2 linked regions of the Stegostoma tigrinum genome follow. The protein of the gene in region 2 interacts with the protein of the main gene of each other region in a pairwise test. Links are inferred from orthologs where the notes say so. Each region holds a gene or a part of one and is shown on either strand. Other genes may lie near its edges.

What was found.
Region 1: the proteins of ssx2ipa (region 2) and top3b interact in binary tests that used the Homo sapiens proteins (3 or more experiments, as listed by UniProt). The two-hybrid records come from large-scale screens. The link is inferred for Stegostoma tigrinum from reciprocal best matches to the Homo sapiens genes SSX2IP and TOP3B.

Annotation. Positions count from the first base shown.
Region 1 is NC_081379.1:44,586,635-44,595,084, reverse strand, and holds the start of top3b (DNA topoisomerase 3-beta-1), read left to right. Parts: upstream 1-5,332; 5' UTR 5,333-5,400; coding exon 5,401-5,470; intron 5,471-8,450. UniProt on the Homo sapiens protein: Releases the supercoiling and torsional tension of DNA introduced during the DNA replication and transcription by transiently cleaving and rejoining one strand of the DNA duplex.
Region 2 is NC_081361.1:98,998,098-99,005,986, forward strand, and holds the start of ssx2ipa (synovial sarcoma, X breakpoint 2 interacting protein a), read right to left. Parts: upstream 3,600-7,889; 5' UTR 3,497-3,599; coding exon 3,433-3,496; exon of another isoform or gene 3,269-3,432; intron 1-3,268. UniProt on the Homo sapiens protein: Belongs to an adhesion system, which plays a role in the organization of homotypic, interneuronal and heterotypic cell-cell adherens junctions (AJs).

The DNA.
Region 1 (8,450 bases), on a different chromosome or scaffold from region 2:
TGAAGTCAACATCTTCTATCTCAGGCTCAAGTTCTCCCTAGATGAGCATACAAATGAATAATCTGATGAGCAATGTGCTTTCCCACTAGTGAAAAGCTTCTGAATCACTTTGCAAAAACATGTTAGTCAAGGGTGCCAAGACACTGAGATAAAAGGTGAAAATAAATAAAATGGAAACGTTTTGGAATCAATTTCCTGACAAATAAGCTAAATATCTAAGGAAACTCAGTGACTTATTGGTGTATCTGAAACAGTGCAAATGTTTATGCCCCCCCCCCGACCCCGCTTAACATTTTGATGTTGTCCCTTGAATTTATTCTTTTATTTCTTATTCTGTGTCCACAACACATCTTTGTGTCTGCCAAAGTGTCTACATCCCAATGGATTGCTTTTTTTTTGTTCATTAAGTGCTCCCACTTTACAGAAGAAACAGCTTTCTGGTAGGGAAATCTAAAGCAAAAATCATAGAGTTTGGTCATTCAGTAATTAAATCAAAAGGCATTTCTTCACACAAAAATGTGATCGAAAGGTAGAATTCTTTACCTGTAAAGGTTGCGGGTTAATTGAAATGTTTTAGACAAGAGGTAATTTTTTTTCAAAACATGTGAAATGAGGTAATGCATTTTTCAGGAAGAAAATGGACAGATAATATAACATAGATAATAAAATGTGAGGCTGGATGAACACAGCAGGCCCAGCAGCATCTCAGGAGCACAAAAGCTGACGTTTTACCCTTCATCAGAGAGGGGGATGGGGTGAGGGTTCTGGAATAAATAGGGAGAGGGGGGAGGCGGACCGAACATGGAGAGAAAAGAAGATAGGTGGAGAGGGGAGTATAGGTGGGGAGGTAGGGAGGGTATAGGCTAGTCCAGGGAAGACGGACAGGTCAAGGAGGTGGGATGCGGTTAGTAGGTAGGAGATGGAGGTGCGGCTTGGGGTGGGAGGAAGGGATGGGTGACCCATCCCTTCCCCCCACCCCAAGCCGCACCTCCATCTCCTACCTACTAACCGCATCCCACCTCCTTGACCTGTCCGTCTTCCCTGAACTGGCCTATACCCTCCCTACCTATCTTCTTTTCTCTCCATCTTCGGTCTGCCTCCCCCTCTCTCCCTATTTATTCCAGAACCCTCACCCCATCCCCCTCTCTGACGAAGGGTCTAGGCCCGAAACGTCAGCTTTTGTGCTCCTGAGATGCTGCTGGGCCTGCTGTGTTCATCCAGCCTCACATTTTATTATCTTGGATTCTCCAGCATCTGCAGTTTCCATTATCACAGATAATAATAACATAACGGGTACAATTCTAAAGGAGGTGCAAGTGCATAAGGAACTGGTGTATGTGGCAAGTGGAGAGAATGGTTAATAAAGCATACAATATCCTGGGCTTTATTAATAGGGGCATGGAGACAAGAATAAGGAGGTGATGCCAAATTTACCCAAGTAACTTGTCAAACCTCAGTTTTGCATACAGTTCTGGGTACCAGACTATGGTAAGGATATGAACAAATTGGGGAGACTGCAGAAGAGATTTACAGGAATGATTCCAGAGATGGAAAATTTCAGTTATGATAGATTGGAGAGAATGGAACTTTTCTGCTTAGAGAAAGAAAGCTAAAAACACATCTGACAGAAGTTTTCAAAAATCACAAGTGGACTGGATTGTGTAAATAAGCTGTTCCTACTTATTCAAGGATCAAGAATAAGAGGGCTCAGATTTAAAGTGATTTCCGAAGGAAACAAAAGACAAGGTGAAATAAAATTGCTAATGCATGGTTTAGGTGTGGAATGCGCTGGAGGCAGGTTCAATTGAGGCTTTTAAGGCAGCACTGGATGATTATTTAAACAGAAACAATGTGCTTGAGTATGTGGAGAAGGCAGGAAATGGCACCAAATCATGATGCTCATGTGGAGAAACGGTGAATACACAACTGGCTTTTACAACCATTCTTGTAATTCTTTTCTTGCAAACAGGAAAGTGAAGTTGAGACCACAAACAGATCAACCATCATACTGAGGTAATGGGAACTGCAGATGCTGGAGAATTCCAAGATAATAAAATGTGAGGCTGGATGAACACAGCAGGCCAAGCAGCATCTCAGGAGCACAAAAGCTGACGTTTCGGGCCTAGACCCTTCATCAGAAAGGGGGATGGGGAGAGGGAACTGGAATAAATAGGGAGAGAGGGGGAGGCGGACCGAAGATGGAGAGTAAAGAAGATAGGTGGAGAGAGTATAGGTGGGGAGGTACGGAGGGGATAGGTCAGTCCACGGAAGACGGACAGGTCAAGGAGGTGGGATGAGGTTAGTAGGTAGCTGGGGATGCGGCTTGGGGTGGGAGGAAGGGATGGGTGAGAGGAAGAACTGGTTAGGGAGGCAGAGACAGGTTGGACTGGTTTTGGGATGCAGTGGGTTTGGGGGGGGGGGGGGGGGAAGAGCTGGGCTGGTTGTGTGGTGCAGTGGGGGGAGGGGACGAACTGGGCTGGTTTAGGGATGCAGTAGGGGAAGGGGAGATTTTGAAACTGGTGAAGTCCACATTGATACCATATGGCTGCAGGGTTCCCAGGCGGAATATGAGTTGCTGTTCCTGCAACCTTCGGGTGGCATCATTGTGGCAGTGCAGGAGGCCCATGATGGACATGTCATCTAGAGAATGGGAGGGGGAGTGGAAATGGTTTGCGACTGGGAGATGCAGTTGTTTGTTGCGAACTGAGCGGAGGTGTTCTGCAAAGCAGTCCCCAAGCCTCCGTTTGGTTTCCCCAATGTAGAGGAAGCCGCACCGGGTACAGTGGATGCAGTATACCACATTAAGCAGAGGTTCACCTGCACATCTGCCAATGTGGAATGTCATCTTGGGGCCTGGGATAGGGGTGAGGGAGGAGGTGTGGGGACAAGTGTAGCATTTCCTGCGGTTGCAGGGGAAGGTGCCGGCTGTGGTGGGGTTGGAGGGCAGTGTGGAGCGAACAAGGGAGTCACGGAGAGTGTGGTCTCTCCGGAAAGCAGACAGGGGAGGGGATGGAAAAATGTCTTGGGTGGTGGGGTCGGATTGTAAATGGTGGAAGTGTCGGAGGATGATGCGTTGTATCCGGAGGTTGGTAGGGTGGTGTGTGAGAACGAGGAGGATCCTCTTAGGGCGGTTGTGGCGGGGGCGGGGTGTGAGGGATGTGTTGTGGGAAATACGGGAGACGCGGTCAAGGGCGTTCTCGATCACTGTGGGGGGAAAGTTGCGGTCCTTAAAGAACTTGGACATCTGGGATGTGCAGGAGTGGAATGTCTTATCGTGGGAGCAGATGCGGCGGAGGCGGAGGAATTGGGAATAGGGGATGGAAGTACGCTTGAATAGCCTACTCTTGTTCCTAAATTCTCTAGCTACTTCACATCCTTCTTGAAGTGTAGTGTCAAGACACTGGGAAGGACTTACTGCTCTTCTTTGAAGTGTTGGTCATACAACTGTGTGCTTTCATTCAAGGGGTCTCAGTTTGAGGTCTTATCCAAAAGATGGCATCTCACTATTACTAACAGAGACACTTGACATCTTGGTTTTCACTGAGGTGGCATAACTGAGGATCCATCCTGATTACAGTTCAAATGATGATTAAAAATACTGAAGCTGACCTTAAATGATATGGTATATGAACATTTGAAAGTGTTATCAGATCAAGCAGCAAAGAACTGTAGCCTTAATCTCAGACAGAAAAATTTTGAAAAATGGCGACATGGTGTCAGTCTCATGTGTGCCGATTGTTGAAAAATTCTGGTATTATGAGGAGTACTGTTTTCTTCCCCACCTCAGTATTCAGTAAGTTGATATGGTCGCAGCAATATAAGACAGAAGCCAATGACAACTTGTACATTTGCTCTGGCTTAGCATGTAGCACACTTGCCTTTGAGTTATGGAATTCTGTGTTACAAGTCACACGCTCGAGATTCAAACATATAACAGGTTGATACTTCCCTATTGCAATGAAGAACATTAGGCCATTTTTCAGCCAAGGCATTAAACTTCAGCAGTGGCTCAGTTAAACTCTCTTGGCCTCTAAATTTCAGTCCCACTCCAAGGTTTAAGCCTTGAGCACAAAGATGGTGCTGTGGTGCAATATGGAGGAAGTGCTGCACTGTTGAAGGTGCTAGCTCCTGGATGAGAAGTTAATTTGGTTTCCGATATGCTTGTTCAATTGGATATGAAAGATCCCACACACTATTTTGAAAAAGAAATGTGACAAGATATGCCTAAGACAGATTTGTTCTGTCCTGTTCCTCAGGAAGAGAGATGTTGTAAACACGGTACCATGGGGTCTGCTCCATGGAAAGAAGATTAAATAGCTTTGGATTTTTTAAACAAAAAACTAAACAAAAAAAGCAGGAGGGTTTGAACAAGGCTTACACAGATACAGGGCTTTAGTTTATACTTTCAGTTGTTGAAGCTGGGGTTTGGACTAAGATGCTAGATACAGTTCTCACTCTGTAGTTAAAGATGTTCAGTCAGTGTTCCTTCTCCTGGACTGGATAAGATCATAAGTGATGGAAATCTGTTTTGCTGAATTGACCTGTGCCAAGGGTGTGTTTATGGGATGCTGTTACATTGGAACAGTAGGAGTAGCTGTTAAATAATATATAATTTTGCTATGTATCTAGATAGAGTTATGGTTATGCCATTTTTTTTGTTTTTGTTTCTGTTTCTAAACTGTGGTGCCAGAATCAAGTGTGTTTTGCTTAAAGCATAGTAGTTTGACCAATTGAATCAGATATGCAATGCAGCTCCTTATACTTACCTCTATAAAGAGAAAAAGGTAGAATCTAAGCTGTCTCCTCGATATATATTAAGGAGATTCGGTCTGGCTCATAGAAGAAGGAAATTTGCACTGATGAGCTAGAGCCAATATGTAACCCTTCCTCTATCAAGACCACAAATAACAGATTATCTGCTCATGTTCACATTGTTAACCAAATTCATATGTGGGCAGAATAGGGCTGCTGCGATGTCAGAACAACCAAAGCAGATGCTTGGGCAAGATGCTCTAGTTCAGATCCATTATTTGTACAACATGGCTCTAAATTTAAAACAAAAATTGCAGTACACGGCTTTAAAATAAAAAAGTGACCCTTCCACAGAACAGCATCCGTAGTGCTCTGTTTCTGAAATAAGGTGTGTTGGGACGTCAATTTTTACCTATTATCAAATTAAGTTTGTAGAGGAGAAATTACATTTTTGTTGTTTGGAAGGTGCCCTGTCTCATGCGGTATGATCACAGCTTCCAGCGCTGATCTGCACTGAGCAAAGGGCCTCGCGGTTACCATGGGAATCGGCCGGAACCGGAAGTCTAGTCGAGAGCACAGGAAGGGGTCGTGCGTGGGTGTCATGGCGACGGCCTGAAGGAGGTGGTTGTATTGAGCGAGGTCGGCATCATGAAGACGGTGTTGATGGTCGCCGAGAAACCTTCTCTGGCTCAATCCATCGCCAAGATCCTGTCGCGGGGTAAGTGAGCCTCGATCAGCAGTAATCTGTACGAATGTGTGGGCTTGTTCCTACGAGCTCAGTTTTTCCACGGCAGATCCATTGAGGCACAGCTTTGGCATTGGTCCTACGGTTTCCCTTCGTTTCGAAACTAGCTGGATGTACCATGAGGCCACGTTAAAGCGCTTTGTAAAATTTGCCTTCTGTACTAGTACAGCCAGATTATTGGAAATTACAACCAGGGAACAACATTTGAGATGAGTGACTGGATCATCTATCTTTAATGAATGATTAAGTTTTGGTTCCGAGACTTGAGCAAATTCTTCTAACCTTTGCTAAATCGGGTTGTGTGCTATTTCATGAGGGATGACCTTATAGAGGTATATAAAATCTTGTGGATAAAGGTGAACGGCGGTTGCCTTTTCTCTAGGGTGCGGGATTTCAAGACTAGAAGGCACTTTAAGGTTAGAAGAGAAAGATTTAAAAAGAAAACAAGAGGCAATATTTTTGCAGAGTGTCTTATATATAGAATAAACTTCCAGAGAAAGTGGTGGATGCGAGTACAGTTACAACATTTAAATAAATGAAAGAAACGTACGTAGGGATACAGGCCTAGTGTAGGCAAGCGGGACTAGTTTAGATGAGGATTTATGGTCAGCATGGATTGGTTGGTTTGAAAGGTCTCCTATGCTGAATGCCCAATTGAGCAAGTAGATCAGCCTCAAGTTAACATTTCATCTGGCCAATGGCATCTCCCAATAATTCAGCACTCCCTCAGTTATGATAATGTGACAACCTAGATTATGTGCAGAATCAGGGTCTGAGTCCCTATTGTTCCAACTTGCAAGAAAAACTTACCGCTAAACTGAGTTGTCACTCACTATTATGATGCTCAGAATGCATACTCTTTCAGTAACTTTCTTGTTGAATATCACAATTACAGGTAGGGTCTAGATTAAAAATCAGTAAATGAATTAGCCAGACCTTTGTGCTGATCAGGAAGCATGGGCAGGTGTCAGTTGGAGATAGCAAGAACTGCAGATGCTGGAGCCAGAGTCAACATGGTGTGAAGCTGAAGAAATACAGCAGGTCAGGCAGCTTCAGAGGAATAGGAAAGGGCCCTTCTTCAGAATTGGGGAGGGGAAAGGGAGCCGGGAAATAAATAGAACAAGGAGGGGTGTGGCTGATTGAAGGTAGGTGGCATGGTGATAGGTGGATGCATGTAGGGGATGGTGGAGATTGGTCAGTGGGAAGGGTGGGGCAGATAGGTGGGAGAGAAGAAGGACAGGTTGTGTCAGGTCAAGGAGGTGAGAGGGAGGATGTGTGGGCCTGAGGCAGGGGTGGTGGCTGCAGATGTGGGGAAATAGGGATTGGCCAGTGGGAAGGGTGGGGCAGAAGATTGACAGGTTATGTCAGGTCATCGAGGCGTGTATGAGAAGGAGGTTTGGACATGGGATGGGGAGATTTTAAAACTGGTGAATTCAATGTTTAGGCCATTGGGCTGTAGGCTTCTGAGGTGTATTATGAGTTGTTGCTCCTCCAATTTGTGTGTGGCCTCATTATGACACTGGAGGAAGCCCAGGATGGACATGTCATCCCAGGCATATGATGGGGAGTTGAAATGCTTAGCGACTGGAAGGTGTTGTCGATTATCACGTACGGAGCGCAGGTGGCCCACGAAATGGTCAAGTCTGCGCTTGGTCTCACTGACGTAGAGGAGACCACGTTGGGAGCACTGGATATTGTAGGCCAGGTTGTAGGATGTACAGGTGAAACCCTAGCAGATATGGGAAATTTGCTTTGGGCCTGGAAGTGAGGGGAGAAGTGTAGGGGCAGGTGTAGCACTTCCTGCAGTTGCAGGGAAAGGTGCCGGGTGTGGTGGGGTTAGTGGGGAGCGTGGAGCAGACAAGGGATTTGCAGAATGAGTTGTCTGTATGAAAGACGGAGAGGGAAATATCTCTTTGGTTGTGGGGTCAAATTGCAGATGGGGTTGTGGTGGAGGTTGATGTGTTGGATACAAAGGTTAGTGGGGTGATATGTGAGGACCAGGAGTCTGTGTCTTTATTTTTGTTGGGGGGTGGTGGTTAGAGGCCAATACAAGCTATGTGGTTGAGGGCATTTTGATCATTAGATTGGGCAAATTGCAGTCCTTAAAATAGGAGGACATCTGGGATGTATGGGAGTGGAACGCTCCATCTTGGGAGCAGATGTGGCGAAGGTGGAGGAATTGGGAGTATGGGATTGCATTCTTGTAGGAAGGTGAGTGAGTGGAGGTGTAGTCCAGTAGCCATAGGAGTCGGTGGGTTTGAAATAAATGTCGGTGTTGAGGTGGTTATCAGAGATGGAGATGGAGAAGTCCAGGAAGGGGAGGGAAGTATCGGACATGGTCCAGGTGAATTTGAGGCTGGGATGAAAGGTATTAGTAAAGTTGATGAACTGTCCTAGCTCCTCGTGGGAGCATGTTAGCACTGATACAGTCATCAGTGTAACAGAGGAAGAGTGTGGGATGGTGCCTGTGTAATAGCGGAAAAGGGACTGTTCCACGTTTCCTACGAAGAGACAGATGTAGCTCGGACCCATATGGGTGCCCATAGCCACCCCCTTAGTTTCTAGGAAGTGGGAGGAATTAAAGGAGTTGTTGTTCAGGGTAAGGAAAAGTTCTGTTAAGTGGATGAGGGTGTTGGTAGTGGGAGACTGGCTCGGTCTGTGAGAGAAGAAGAAGTGAAGGGCATTTCGGCCATCTGCATGGCGCCTAAAAGTGTCAGAAATTGGATGTCCATAGTGAAGATGACATTTTGGGGTCCAGGGAATTGGAAGTCTCAGGTGAGGTGGAGGGCATAGGTGGTATCATGAATGTAGGTGGGGAGTTCCTGGACATGGGTTTGGTGGGGGGGACACCATGGATGTCCAATCCCTGTACTCTTGAATAAAGGCAGATGCTGAGCCATACAGGGGAAGTTATCAAAGATAGTTTTTAGCAGGAAGAAAGTTGAGGTGTAAA
Region 2 (7,889 bases):
TTACCTTCCCTCCAGTACATTAGGTGAGCCAGATGGGTTTTTTCGAACAATCAACGATGGATTTGTGGTCACCATTAGATTCTTTATTCTAGATTTGTATTGAATTAAAGGACATTAGTGAACAAGGTGGGTTTTAATTCTGACAATCAACAACAGATTCATAGCAATTGTTAGACAAATTAATTACAGATTTCCTTTTTTGAATTCAAGTTACTCTTTCTGCTGTGACAGGTTTCGAACCGGAGTCTCTGGGTTAACAGTCCGGCGAGTGCCTCCTCTGGAGCTGACTGGCCTAAGAACTTTTGAACTTTCTGCCTCCATCTCTTGTTGCAAAATGTTTGCAATCTTCCAATCTACTGGAACTATCCTAAATCAACTGGGTTTTGGAAGATTAAAACAGACACTAACTTTCTCATTAAACCGCTTCCTTTAGGAATATAGGATGATGTTCAACAGGACTGGTCAGATGCAACTCCAACAACTTGCTAAGTAGTACTGCCCTGCTTGCAATTTTTTTTGGGAGTTCCTCCCTCCACTCCATTTCTGGATTTACAACTATTCCTGGGATGTCACTACTATCTTCTATAGCTAACACCAATGTAAACTACCCATTCAATTCATCCATCTCATTAATGCTCCAAACTCACTTTCCAGAGATCAATTCTTAGTCTGTTAACTCTTACTGTCTTTTATATTCCCACCTGGCTTCACTTATACTCCCTCTTTAATCTTTTAGCCGTTCTTTGCTGTAATGTACAGTGTGTCTAATCTTCTGCCTTGCCACCCAGCTTTTTCCTTTCGGGTTGATACTATTATTAACTGCTTTTAAGTTAGACATGGGCGACCAGTCCTCCATTTGGAATTTCTTTTTTGGAACTAATCTCGGTATTTTGAAATATATCTAATTTCTGTCACCGCATCCATTAACATATCCTTTATCTACCTACAGCACATGCAATACATGGTTCAAGAATGTAGCTCATCACCACTATCAAAGAATGGGCAAAAAAAAAGAAATTGATATCCACATCCCATAAGTGAGTTTAAAAAAAACAAGCTTGTCAGTTAATATCTACTTTTGTGTCTTAATCAACTTTGAAATAGTATTGGACACAGCCACCTCTTCAAAATAGGATATAAAATTCTGATTTTTACTGCTCCCGAGCGACAAGCGCACTCCAAATTAATCCCATCACATTGAACAACACTAGGTCTAGTATTGCCTGTCCTGAGGTTGGGTCCAGAACATGTCATTCTAAATAAAAAGAAAGAATTCCCTGCCAGAATGACTGCCAGACTACTCGGACCTCTTGGCATCAGGGTAGCCCACAAACCCACCAACACACTAAAACAGCAGCTAATGAACTTAAAAGACCCTGTACAGACAACAAAACGAACATCATCTACAAAATACCTTGCGAGAACTGTGACAAACACTACATTGGACAAACAGGCAGAAAGCTAACCATCAGGATACATGAACATCAACTAGCCACAAAAAGACATGACCCACTATCACTAGTATCCTTACATACAGATGAGGAAGGACACCACTTTGATTGGGACAACACATCCATCCTAGAACAAGCCAAACAGAGACACGCACGAGAATTCCTAGAAGCATGGCATTCCAACCAGAACTCCATCAACAAACGCATTGATTTGGAGCCCATCTACCATCCTCTGAGAAAAAGAACAGGAAATGACATCACCAACCCAAGGAAACCTAAACAGATAAATAGAAAGCAGGACATAACACCAGCGCTTCGTCGGAGGCTCACTGATGATGTTACCTAGAATGGTGACGAAACGTCTGAAAACGAACCTTCCAGCTCAGCGAGTGAACTCACACCCAGAACCTTAACGTGAGCTCCAAATCTTCTCAAAACTCGCTAAAGAATTCCCTGATTTACAAACAGTCGTATTTACAAATACAATCCTATGTGTTGTTACAATTTTGAAAACCCAACATATAAATATTCAAGCTTCAAAATCTTCCTTCCTGTTACCTCGTCCCAAAATCAGTCAAGCTTGTCCACACCTCCCTAACCCATCCTTCCTCCCACCTGAAGCCCCACCCCATCTCCTACCTACTAACTTCATCCCGCCCCTTTGACCTGTCCATCCTCCCTGGATCGACCTATCCCCTCCCTAACTCCCCACCTACATTCACCTTCACTGGCTCTAAGCCCACCTCTTTGACTTGTCCGTCTCCTCTCACCCTATCTTCTCCTTTATCCATCTCCGCCTCCCCCCTCTCCCTATTTATTTCAGAATCCCCTTCCCCCATTTCTGAAGAAGGATCTTGACCCAAAACAGCAAAAAAAAACTTTCCTGCTCGGTCTGCTGTGTTCATCCAGCTTCACACCTTATTATTTTTAATTAGGTATAGATGGGGAAAAAAATTCAAAGCAAAACGTTTAACTATGACTTCACCAAACAGGACAGAATTTGCTCATTTGTTGTAAGACCTTGTTTTTTTAAAAAAACCAATTAGGGAGGGATCTGACAGAGTATAAAGGTTTGAACAAATAGCGGAGTTAGACAACAGTGACAAGAAACTGAATTTTTCACAACTCAAAAATGCAGAACATAATTCTAAATGTAAGTATTTTTTCATCCAGTAATTTTCTGCACCACCCAAATGTATTTCAAAACTGGGCTACTGGCGTGCCAAGCATATAATTATGTAAACTGCACCAGCTACAATGGCTTGCTGTTTTTTTTTGCAGTTTCTAAATTTATTCGTGAAGTCGCACTGATTACAAAACCCCAGAATATTTAATTATAAGCTCGTTACCTCACTGGAGTTAGGTATAGCAACTGACAGCTAGACCTGTACTTAAAATACAGTACGACCAGCGAGAAGGTCCCTTTAAAAAAAAAGTTACGTTTCAATACGAATTCAATGTTTTTTTCAATCAAACTGGTTTATGGTAGTGTTCGTAGGCTCGAAGCTCTAATTCTTTTTTTATTTCCTTCTGCACTTTTCTCTCACTTGGTTGATTCTCAACTGCGTTTCTAATTTTTCTATAAATTCGCCGCATACGATCCGGAGTTCCAGGGTTACACCACTCCCGGGATTCTGCTGAATTCCCTATTGGGCATATTCGCTGTGGTCACGACCCGTCTTTTCGGTCTCAATCTACACAAACGTATCATCTAGGTATGAAAGCACTTGTTGCAATGAGAACCACACCTCCACCTCAAGCCCAGAAATTCGGAACACGGAAATACACAATAATTAAACGGCAAAAAAGTTCGTTACCTGTTTAAACAAGGCAATAATTCTCCAGTGAAGGGGCGGGGCGGGAAAGGAGGAAAGAAAAATGTTTCAATTTCACAGCCAGTTTTAACAATTTGCACATTGACTGACGATCAATACAGCGAGGAGAGCCAAAATATATACTGTTTTCTTAAACAAACAATAACCTTTTGCAGTGCTGGTGCCCCTGGATGAATGAGCGAGCAGCGTAACTTGCACAAGAAGTAACATCGCAGTGCCGCAGACCGGGCCCGGTACTGCGCAAGCGTCACGAGTTGCAGCCGGGCCCGGGTAAGCACATGCGCACTGGAACCCAGTGACGGTTGCGTGCGCGTCTCACTCGGAAACCATGGTAACCGGGCCTAGCCCAGGACCGTACTCAAATAACCGCCAACGGCGGCGACTGTTGTGGTTCGCCTCCCCGCCCCTTTCAACAACTGCCCTTACATCAGTCCGACATCTCTGGCCTCAGGCAGTTGGCTCCTCCTCATCGACTCCAGCGCCGGTGACTCTATCACCACATTGCGACTGCATTTGAAGTCATGCGAACGTTACAGTCTTTCCCTCCCTCTCTCACGGTTTTATTTGAAGCAGGTCGACGCCGGCGCCTTCATCCAAAGCGGAAGCCAATTGGTCAAGACCGGCAGTCGGCACGTCGAGGAGTAAACCCAACGATGATTGGCTTAGCTGGTGGTAGTCATCTGTTGGTGAGTTTTGAGAAGATTTGTAGCTCAGGTTGAGGTTCTACAGAGGTACTTAGAAAATCTTTTCTGAATGGTCTCATCCTAATTCTCAGACTATGTCCCCCATGTTCAACAATGCCCAACCAGGATCCCACCTTCCACCTCTGGAAAAACTAATGAACTCAACTTCTTCCCTGAAATTAAGGTAGTGAGTTTGCTCGCTGAGCTGGAAGGTTAGTTTTCAGACGTTTCGTCATCATTCTAGGTAACATCATCAGTGAGCCTCCGATGAAGCGCTGGTAGCCACCAGGATACATGAACATCAACTAGCCACAAAACGACATGGCCCACTATCACTCGTATCCTTACATACAGATAAGGAAGGACACCACTTTGATTGGGACAACACATCCATCCTAGGACAAGCCAAACAGAGACACGCACGAGAATTCCTAGAAGCATAGCATTCCAACCGGAACTCCATCAACAAACACATTGATTTGGAGCAAATCTACCATCCCCTGAGAAAAAGAATGGGAAATGACATCACCAACACAGGAAATGACATCACCAACCCAAGGAAACCTAACCAGATAAATAGAAAGTGGGACATAACACCAGCGCTTCGTCGGAGGCTCACTGATGATGTTACCTAGAATGGTGACGAAACGTCTGAAAACTAACCTTCCAGCTCAGCGAGCAAACTCACATCCAGTAGTCATCTGTCCCCGCGACTTTGCCGCTGGTCATGTGGTCTAGAGCTTGTGCCAGTTTTTGCCTAGCCTCAGGGCAGCATAGCGAGAATGCCAAACCGAAGGGAACAGCAATTTCCGTTGCATGTTTCACTCCGTTAATAACTGAGATTAAATGTTACGCTCACTACCTTAATTTCAGGGAAGAAGTTGGGTTCATTAGTTTTTCCAGAGGTGGAAGGTGGGATCCTGGTTGGGCATTGTTGAACATGGGGTGCATAGTCTGAGAATTAGGATGAGACCATTCAGAAAAGATTTTCTAAGTACCTCTGTAATAGATGTTAGGAACTATTTGTAAGATTTTACATTTGTTGCTAAGAAAGTTTAGGTTCCCTTGATTAATTCCAGCGATGAACACAAATGCAGAAGTTGCTGGGAAAGCTCAGCAGGTCTGGCAGCATCTGTGAAGAAAATAATCAGAGTTAATGTCCCTTTCTCACGACTGAATCCTAACTTATTCTTCCTTCACAGATACTGTCAGACCTGGTGAGCTTTTCCCAGCAACGTCTGTTTTTGTTCCTGATTTACAGCATCCACAGTTTGTTTGGTTTTTATCCAGCGATTAAAAAGCTTGCTTTAAGAGGAGAATTTGAGAGGTTTCAGCCTTTATGGCTTAGAGCTGAGGGGAATGAGAGAAGATCCATTTTTAGGACATAAGATGCTTAAGGAAATTGACAAAGTATACGTAGACAGGATGTTTCCCCTTGTGGGACAATAAAGAACAAAGGGTTTCAGGGATAGTAGGAACTGCAGATGTTGGAGAATCTGAGATAATAAGGCGTAGAGCTGGACGAACACAGGTCAAACCGCATCAGAGGAGCAGGAAAGCTGACATTTCGGGCCTAGACCCTTCTTCAGAAAATGAAGAAGTGCCTAGGCCTGAAATGTCAGCTTTCCTGCTCCTCTGATGTTGCTTGGCCTGCTGTGTTCATCCAGCTCTACACCTTGTTATCGTAGAACAAAGGGTCACGGTTTTAGGATAAGGTAAGGTATATTTAAACAGAGATGAGAAGAAATTACTTCTCTCAAAGAGTCATGAATCTGTGGAATTCAGTACAGCAGGTTGCTGAGAAACTGAGCAAATAAGACCATAAGACATAGGTGTGGAATTAGGCCATTTGGCCCCTCAAGTCTGCTGTGCCATTCAATCATGGCTGATAAGTTCCTCAACCCCATTCTCCAGCTTTCTTCCAACAACCCTTGATCCCTTTGATAATCAATAACCTATCTATCCCAGTCTTAAATGTACTCAATGACCTGGCGTCCACGGCCTTTTGTGGCAGGGAATTCCATAAATTCACCACTCCTTGGCTGAAGAAGTTTCTCCTTATCTCCATTCTAAAAGGCCTTCTCTTTACTCTAAGGCTGTGCCCTCGGGTCCTACCAATGGAAACATCTTCCCAACATCCAGTTTGTCCAGGTCATTCAGTATTTTGAAAGTTTCAATTAGACTCCCCCTCATCCTTCTAAACTCCAGTGAGTATAGCCCCAGAGTCCTCAAATGTTCCTCATATGTTAAGCTTTCCATTCCTGGGACCATTCTCAGTAACCTCCTCTGAACCCTGTCCACGGCCAGTACATCCTTCCTGAGACATGAGGCCCAAAACTGCATGCAATACTCCAAATGTGGTCTGCCCAGAGCCTTATAAAGCTTTGGTAGTGCATCCCTGCTTTTATATTCAAGTCCTCTCAAAATAAATGCCAACATTGCATTTGCGTTCCTGCTACTGACTCAACCTGCAAGTTTACCTTGCGAGAACACCGGACTAGAACTCCCAAGTCTTTTTGCACTTCAGACTTCTGAATTTTCTCCCCATTTAGGAAATAGTACATGCTTTTGTTCTTCTTACCAAAGTGCATGATCTCAGACTTTCCCACATTGTACTCCATCTGGCAGTTCTTTTCCCACTCTTGACCTGTCCAAGTCTTCCTGCAGCCTCGCCACCTCCTCAGTACTACCTGTCCCTTCACCTATCTTTGTATTGTGTGCAAACGTAGCCAGAATGCCCGCAGTTCCTTCATCTAGATCATTAATGTACAAAGTGAAGAGTTATGGTCCCAACACCAAGCCTTGTGGAACTCCACTCATCACCATTGCCATCCTGAGAAAGACCCCTTTATCCCTACTCTCTGCTTTCTGCCAGACTGCCAATCTTCTATCCATGTTAGCATGCTGCCTCTAACACTGTGGGCCCTTATCTGACTCAGCAGTCTCCTGTGTAGCACCTTATCAAAAGGCATTCTTGAAGCCCAGGTAGATAACATCCATTGGCTCTCCTTGCTCTACCCTGCTCGTTACTTCCTTAAGGAATTCTAGCAGATTTGTCAGGCATGACCTCCCCATGATGAAATCATTCTGACTATGTCCTACTTTACCGTACACTTACAAATATTCAGAAATCTCATCCTTCACAACGGACTCCAAAATCTTGCCCGCGACCAAGGTTAGGCTAATTGGCCTGGATTTTCCATCTTTTGCCTTACTCCCTTCTTAAACAGGGATGTCACGTTAGTGATTTTCCAGTTCTCTAAAACCCTCCCTGACTCTAGTGATTCCTGAAAATTCACCACTAACGCTTCCACTATCTCCTTGAGAACTCTGGGGTACAGCCCATCTGGTCCAGGGAACTTGTCCATCTTCAGGCCAATCAGTTTTAGTAGCATCTTTTCCATGGTGATGGCCACCACACCCAGCTCTGCCCCGACTCTCTTGAATTTTTGAGATATTACTTGTGACTTCCACCATGGAGACTGACACAAAGTAATTATTCAGTTCCTGAGACAGTTCCTTGAGGAAGCAGGTAGATTCTTAATTAGTTCCAGGTTATAGGGAGCGGTGGTGTTGGGTCCAAGCTATGATCAGCCATGATTGTTTTAAAGGACAGAGCAGGCTCAAGAAGTTGAGTTGCCCACTCCTGCTTCTAGTTCTTAGGACTAGTAGAGTCCAATTCTTAACAAATCTTCACTCTGTCCTCATGCAGTTGTCCTTGCATCTGGACCTAGATTGCCTACACTGATTCCGAACCCTGAGTGATACTTCCTGAAGTGAGAAGAATTTTGCTACATGGGAAGGGACTCGTCAGCCCGTGCAACATCTGTACTGCTTGTTAACAAAACCTTTCACTGTACTCTGGTACATGTGACAATAAATCAATCAATCAAGTACCTATCTACTCTAGTTCCATTTTA